2 linked regions of the Xenopus tropicalis genome follow. The protein of the gene in region 1 purifies or fractionates together with the protein of each later gene. This does not show direct contact. Links are inferred from orthologs where the notes say so. Each region holds a gene or a part of one and is shown on either strand. Other genes may lie near its edges.

Evidence for each region. The genes of interacting proteins can lie anywhere in the genome.
Region 2: the proteins of mad2l1 (region 1) and kif20a purify together in Homo sapiens (affinity purification with mass spectrometry; 4 studies listed by BioGRID and IntAct, with this or other methods). This does not show direct contact. The link is inferred for Xenopus tropicalis from reciprocal best matches to the Homo sapiens genes MAD2L1 and KIF20A.

The regions. Positions count from the first base shown.
Region 1 is NC_030677.2:71,054,973-71,059,055, forward strand, and holds the start of mad2l1 (mitotic spindle assembly checkpoint protein MAD2A), read right to left. Parts: upstream 2,801-4,083; 5' UTR 2,755-2,800; coding exon 2,685-2,754; intron 1,121-2,684; coding exon 974-1,120; intron 1-973. UniProt on the Homo sapiens protein: Component of the spindle-assembly checkpoint that prevents the onset of anaphase until all chromosomes are properly aligned at the metaphase plate.
Region 2 is NC_030679.2:47,845,250-47,849,353, reverse strand, and holds the start of kif20a (kinesin-like protein KIF20A), read right to left. Parts: upstream 2,806-4,104; 5' UTR 2,663-2,805; intron 469-2,662; 5' UTR 450-468; coding exon 291-449; intron 1-290. UniProt on the Homo sapiens protein: Mitotic kinesin required for chromosome passenger complex (CPC)-mediated cytokinesis. Following phosphorylation by PLK1, involved in recruitment of PLK1 to the central spindle. Interacts with guanosine triphosphate (GTP)-bound forms of RAB6A and RAB6B.

The DNA of each region.
Region 1 (4,083 bases):
TATATTGGAAATGCATTCCTATGTTCAAATTTAGAAAAAAAAAAAAAAAGAAAAGAAAAAAACCCTCCCACTGTAGACTTATCTCTAATAAACATCCACTCAAAAGGTTCAGTATGGTGTGGCAGCTTTAACAAAGATGACCTAATATAGTCCAGTTTAACAGTAAACCAACTGCCTTACAAAAATTGATTGAAATTTGATCAGCTGATGATCACAAATACCCCCTGTACCCAAATGTCCCATCAATTTCTGTTTTAATAGCTTAAAGGAGAAGGAAAGGTAAAATCACCGGGAGTGCCAAAACGTTAGGCACACCCCAGTGACTGTAAATGCTTACCTTATACCCTCGGCTGCTGTTCCTGTTAGGAGAAACCTGCACCAGCAATCTTATTCCTCTTGTCATTTTTTTCTTTATGATCCCAAAGCCAACAGAACTGTGCATGCGCAAGTGGTGAGAAGACATAAGAGAATCGCTCTCTCAGGTACCCAGGGCCAGTGCAGCTTTCTCCTAACAGAGGCACCCCTCAGTGATCTTACCTTTCTTTCTCCTTTAAGGGTAAGAACCCATGGAGTGAGTTACTAGCCCAAGATAGATCTCTGCTATCGCGGGCATGTAACTGCTCTGAAGTCGCACCAAGGAGGAGGAAAACCGAAGCAACGCGAAGGGCTTCCTATTGTTGCCAGTGGAAAGCCTTTTCAACGGTGACTAGCCCACGATAGCAAAAATCTCTCTCGAGCGAGTTACTTGCTCTGTTGATTCTTACCCTTAAGACCACATTAACAATAAGAGCATGTGTATGTTGAAGTAAAGTCTGGCCCAAATTAACACATACCATATTTTCTCACATATAGCCTTGACATATCTAGGATATGTTAGTGAAAATGGAAAGGTACCCACAACTATTCAAAAACAAAACCATACAGAAAGATAAAAAAAATAAAGATATGATCATGTATAAAACCCAATAAGAACCTTTAAGCTGATCGGTAACTTTATTTAAATACTCTTTCAGCCCTGGGTCTGTAGTGAGTAGCAGTGTAAGTCCATACTTCTGGATACGTGTGAACGTTTCTGATGGATAAATCCCACGCTGATATAAAATACTATTGATGCCACAAACTAAGGAGAAAAAAAAACAAACAAAAATTAACATATGATCAAAAACAGACTGATTAATATCCTGATTTTTGGGACCTGTAGTTTTCTGGGTAAGGGTTTTTTTCTATAATTGATTTTGCTGAAAAACATTTAAACATGAAATAAACCCAACTAGATTGTTATAGATATGAATTTATGCAGCTACGGTTATTATTACAGTGAAAATACAGGTATAGCATCCAGAATGCTTTGGACATAGGGTATTTGGGATAAGGGACCTTTCTGACATTTGGATCATCATACCATATGTTTGCAAAAGTTATTTATACATTAAATAAACCCCATAGGATCATTTGGTCTCAAATATGGATTTGTGTAGCTTAGTTTCCATAAGGTACAAGTATTTTTACCTCACAAAGTATAGCCTTACTGCAACAGAGCTAAGGTTTTCACTGACAGTTATTTTCTTAAGCTGTAAGGCACTTCTATGTTAGGAGTGACTAATTGTGGCCACCATACTGGATGTCCTCAAAATAGTGTTTTGACTTGATCCTAACTAAGTTGCATAAATCCATATTGGTGACAAAACTACCCTATCCAGTTTTATTGTTAACACTTTTCTTAGTTCACTTAAGATACAGAGATTCAATTGACTTTATTTAATCTAGTGCCAAGTAATTGCTTGGTAGCGTTACAGTGTATGCAAATAGCCACCCCTTACAAAAGGAGCATGATCTTGGCCAGCCAACACAAATGTAGCATTGTAGAAAAAAAAGTTAATTTGTGCTTGCTGTTTTTCAAAATTTTAAAGAAGCACTAACCCCCACATACTCTTTTTTTTTTTTAAATTGTATCCACCTACAGCAGCTCCCCTCCCCTCAACTGCATCACTGCCAATGTCTACAAAATCCAGGCCACCACAATATCAGTTGTCTAATTGCAGAGTTGTGCAGCAGGGCTGGTGGCTGCCATCTTTGGAAGCAGGAGTATGCACACTGGAACGATTTGGCCTATGACTAAGTGCCCAGATGGAGCACAAAACACATAGCTTTGTTGTTCTTTGAAACAGATCTATTACATATTTAATAAATAGCAATTTTAAGCAGTATAGTTCTACTCCAGTCTGGTTTTGTGCCAACCTGTCTCTCTCTAAGAAGATATTATGCAAACAGGAATGATTTGGCCTATGATGAAGTGCCCAGATGGGACACAAAAACACATAGGGCTTTGTTGTTCTCTGAATAAGATGTATTGAGTTCTTAATAAATATCGATTTTAAGCAGCATATTGTGCCAGTCTCTCTCTCTAAGAGGATATTATGCTCAGTGGAGACCAATTAATGCCTGACTTCCAAATCACATGCTCTATCTGGCCAAAGCTGCAGCTTTACTCAGCAAGCAGATAGTGGGGTGGACTTTTACACACTGTCAGCAAAATATTTTCGTGTAGTCCCTCCTTTACTGCATGAGTCCAATTGTCAGTGCGTTTTCTATCCATGTCCCCATATCAGCCATGCCAAAGGCTCAGTTATTAGCTACTGCTATTGCAACCAATAAGGGTTATCTTCCCCTCCCCAACCACTTACAGAAAAACTCCGACACGATTTCAGCGCTACCCTTCAGGGTAATCCCTTCACGTGTTAGCTGACCGGCCATCGGACCCTTCTTGTAAAACTGAATTGGTTCCAAAAGTTTTCAGGTCCTGATAGTACTAACGCGCCTTCCACTTCAAACCAACGGCGGACTCGTACTCTGATTGGACAACTGTCACATCATGTGCAGCCTGTGGTCCAATTAAAAGCCAGCCGGAAAGATGCGTTCTGCGTGACGTCGTATGTTCGCCATCATTACTGAGGGCAAATCTTAAAATTTGCGGTAATAGTGTAGCTCATATCAACCAATCAAAAGTTAGCTTTCCTAATTTGCTTGCAGCTAGAATAACTGAATCGAATCTGCGTTTGCTACGTGTTTAGTTTATTGGCGCAGTGTTTATCGATATTTGGGCAGTTGTCGGTGATATTAAATAAATGGAGCATATGTTCGCAGTTCTGTAGACGTCTTCCGCAGATATATTTAGAACATGGTATTGTGATTTGTAAGAGGTACGGCTCATATTAGTGGGCGTGGAGCGCGTTGGACTTGGATGTATATAACTTTAACATTTTTACGATATAGCATACAGGAACAACAAATTATGCAGAAATTTTATTTCAAACGTATACACACTTAGGGCACTGGAAAATACATTTATGACTTTAAAATTCACATCGTTCTCGATCCCGTTGGAGCATGCAGTTCCCTGTCACATACCCACCTATGGGCAATTTCATAGGGAGCTATTACCCTGCTCTTCTGTTTTTGGATCATGGGTTGGGTTACCAGTGCCACTGTTTGGTAAAAAAAATAATATTCCTACCCATTTGGCCTGGTATCAAGGCTGGTAAAATACTGGCCAGGTGGCGACATTATGCCTGGGGGGCAGGGACCCATGATCATGCATACTCCTGACAGGCAGTGCTGTGGGAACATTTCTTTGCTACATTTTTGTTTGCTGGTTTCTGCACGTTCCTGGTCGTCTCTGTCTTTTTACACCATCAACACCAACTGCGCACATTCGTCCTAAACCTTTCTATCTTGCTGCTCCTTACAGTGGATATAAAAAGTCTACACACCCTTGATAAAATGTCAGGTTCCTGTGCTGTACAAAAATGAGACAAAGATAAATCATTTCAGAACTTTTTCCACCTTTAGGGCTCTGGCACACGGGGAGATTAGTCGCCCGCGACAAAACTCCCTGTTCGCGGGCGACTAATCTCCCCCAGTTGCCTTCCCCTGCCATCCCACCGGCGAAAATGTAAGTCGCCGGTGGGATGGCACACGCGGCGGCGCAATTTCGCGCATATCGCCGAAGTTGCCTCGCGAGGCTTTTTCAGCAATTTGCGCGAAATTGTGCCGCTGCGTGTGCCATCCCACCGGCGACTTACA
Region 2 (4,104 bases), on another chromosome or scaffold:
TGGGCTAGCTAAAAAGATCTGGCTGGAGGAGGACTGCAAAAGCCAGTGGATGTGGTCTGAAACTGACTGCCGACCCACATATTTGGTATTGGTTTGATTTGGCCATACCATCTGGTGACCTGCCCAAGCAAACAAATCTTTCTGTGTACAGCCAGCTTAGGTACGTAATAAGTATTTGTAAGCTCAAAAGTTATAGAACAAACAATACATAGAACAAACCTTGCTCACTCCTAGCAAGCTGTCCAGCATTGGACTGAAAAGAAACATAAGACTGGGTTGACTTTCTATACCTGGGGAGGATGGCCCAGTCCTGGTGAGATGACAGAGAAGTCAGACAGAAGTGCTTTTCGGATTCCTGCCCCACATTCAGCTGCAGTAGATTCAAACACTGGGTTCTCCTCATCATCTGAGAGCAGTCCCATGCCAGGGGATACAACATTGCTAACCATGATTATTCAGGCCCTGTACCTAGTAGGGAAAGTAATGGTAGCACTGAGTAAATGCAGAAAATCAAAGACTCAGTTGTGTGTATAGATATATCCAGCTGCTTTAACTTTTGCAAACCTGCCATGACCCTTAGGAGAGAAGTACTAACACAGAACTAATAGCACAGTATGGTGATATCTAATAATAAATCATGTCTGAACCACTACATTAAACAAAAAGTGAGTGTAATGTACAGTGTTTATGCTTTATGGGTGTGACTGACCTAATTCGGAGAGTATGCTAGTTTCATCACAGATATAAAGAGAGCAAGAAGGGTGTAGTGTTGTCCCTGGTAACCGCAACTTACAATATTTATTAACTGAAAGCTGTTGAATATAGGATTTCTGCAGCACAAGAATTAGTTAAAATTATATATATATATATATATATATATATATATATATATATATATATATATATATATATATATATATATATATATATATATATATATATATATATATAAACAGATAATACCATAATTTTAGTAGGTGTTGGAGAAAATCCCTTGTACAACACAACCAAAAATCTGTGTCAGACAACATCCCAGTGTTCCATTACCCTATGGTCTGCCCCACAGAAGGTGCAGGATAATAGAGACAGAGGAAACAATACTACTCATGTAAGAAAATGCCACTCATGATTGGCCAACATGCACCTTCCCCCCCATCCCCCTGAGGTGTGTGGCACCTAGAAAAATATAACTTGGACTAGTGCAATTTTTCAATAAAAACCTACACCAGCCTGGGTTCCAAAGAGTAGTGGTGATTTCCCTTACTGTAAGTAGCTCAACAAATTGGACTTTTGTAGTAGTGTTTTAACCTTTAGGTATATTTTAATCTATACAGGAATATAGTGTATAATTTGCTTTCATTATGCAAAAAAAACATGGACATTCCCTTTAAGACTTTTAGTATTAACAAAACATTCACTTCATATTTCTGTAATGTCTTGCTTACTAAGTCATGAATATAAATAACCCAATATCAGAAGTGAAAGCCACCACCTAAAAAGAAAAGATATTCAATATCATCTAAAAGAATGGAATGTGCACATATGAAAAGGCACATTCCATTTTCATAAGTCACTTCCCTATGACTTAGCAAACAAAACTACTGACACATTCTCAGGTTACAGTGCACTTAACATTTGCAATTTTAGAACAAAGACTTTTGTACCAGAAAAAAAAAAAAAAACAGGTTTAGAGTAAGTATACAGGAAAGGGACTTATTTACATGCAGTTAAACCTTTCCTTCACTGTATATAAATAGATTTCCTTCTTTCCAATGTAACCATATTGTTTAGGTGATTGGGTAGGTACTGTTAAAATTGTTAATAGCTATTAACTGTACTATAGTTAAAGGAATTCTGGTATAATTCATCTTAAGTATATGTTTCCCTGTGGACAAATTCCATGGGTCTATGATACAAAAATGTATATATATGTTTGTATACTCACACACAACACTTTCCTGACCTCTTTAGGCCAGGGCAGATGAATGACATTTTAGGAGCAAGTTACCATAAAAGTCCTGCATAGCGGCAAGTGACATGAGGGAATGGCAAAGATGGGAGTACTCAAAGCCACACTCACGTTATGCCCAGCACTGGCTTGTGACACACACTGGCACTTGAACACACTGTGATATTTGAAACTGCAGTCAAACACCTACACAACAGGGTAGTAGAGGCCAGTGGGAAATAAGCAGCCCTCCAGGGGATTTTATACCTCCCCCTTCATCCCCAGGTTCTTCATTACACAACATCATTTATATATATAACCCAGCCCTCAGTAATACATAATATCAAAGAAATGACTGACAATTCTTTTATCAGTACAGTGAATGCCTGACCCACTATATGGAAACAGACAGCACTTAGCTTTAGACAGCACTCCCACCATATACTTCCTGCATTACCCAGCAGACAAATAATAAATATAATACCCCTACTTTTGAACAACTCCCTGTATGCGTTACTAGTGGCAGCACAATAGATCGCCAGTCACTGGGACAACCTTCGTATGAAAAGATTATAAATACATAAATAATAAACCATATAGGGCAGATATCTAGACAGAAGAAGTAAACCTCAAAGCCAGTGAACTAAGAGGGATCATACCAAGGTACTGAATATAGAAACATATGTAGAATCTCCCAATTACAACAAAACTAACCTGTGTTATAATGACCCTTGGTATTACCCTGTGAGCCCCGGACCGAAACCACCGCCTCCCGGGACAGGCAGCTCTCAGCAGACTCGTGATTCCCGACTGTTGCTACTTTCCGAATTCAAACTAGGCGCTGGGGAATTCAACCAATCCTAAAGAACTTTGCTTGTCGCAGCCAATCGGATATTGAGAACTCTGTCATCCAATAGGCTTTCTAGTTAAGGAAACCTTGCTAGACTAGATGCGTGCTCAACCAAACAGTGCGATTATTGGATCTGGATGAAATAACCTGCCCTTTCTTCCGGCTCATACGGGAATCATTATTTCAACGTGTTGCTTTGTTTCAAACTGTTGTGCGAAAATGTGGTGTTTTTGTTTGAATTATTAAAGGTTTCGTTATACTGACAATTGCTAAATAATAGGGAAAAACTCATTTCTAACTACAAAACTGTACCAGTCTCTGTTTTAGCTTTTTATATAAAAACTATTTTCTGACTACAAAATTGTGCCAGTCTCTATTTCAGTATTTTATATTGCAGTAAGTATAAATACCAGTATTCTTTTATTTTCTTACACTAAAAAAAATCCAAGCATTTCTTCAAAATAACTAATGTATCTGACAGCATCCATTTCAGGGGAAAATTCTAGTTATGCGCCGAATCCCAGATTCAGTTTGGGATTCGGGCGGAATCCAGCCTTTTTATGATGGATTTGGTTTTGGCAGATCCAAATCACAATTAGCATATGCAAATTAGCATTCAGAAAGGGTTAAATTTTGGGAGGAAAATTTTTTTGAGCGGCAAATTTTAACCCTTCTGAATTACTAATTAGCATACGCTAATTTGGATTCGGCTCAGGATTCAACAGAATTCATTTTGGCCAAACCCAAAATAGTGGGTTCGGTGCATCCCTGCGAAAATTCCACAACTTTTAAAATCTCACCTAGGCATGAAACCTAACTGCAGCCCCCCCCCATGACATCACGTGCATCCCTGCACCTGATGTCCCAACTGTCACATCCACTGAAGATTCCATCTGACCCCTCATCCTCCCCCTTCCGCTGTTGGATTTATGCTGGAGTGTCTGTTGGCAGCTGGGAGGGTTACTTTTCTTTTTAAAAAAATTTAGGGATAATATAGACACCTGACTTACTAATAGGCATGAAGCGAACCTCAAAAAAAAAGTTCGCGAACCCGTTCGCGAACTTACGCCAAAAAGTGCGAAAGTTCGCGAACTTTGCGAACCCCATAGACTTCAATGGGAAGGCGAGCTTTAAAACCTAGAAAAGCCATTTTTGGCCAGAAAACTGATTTTAAAGTTGTTTAAAGGGTGCCACGACCTGGACAGTGGCATGCAGGAGGGGGATCAAGGGCAAAAATTTCTCTGAAACATACATTGTTGACACAGCGTTGCGCAAAAATGCAAGCTATTCCTATGTATACGCAAAG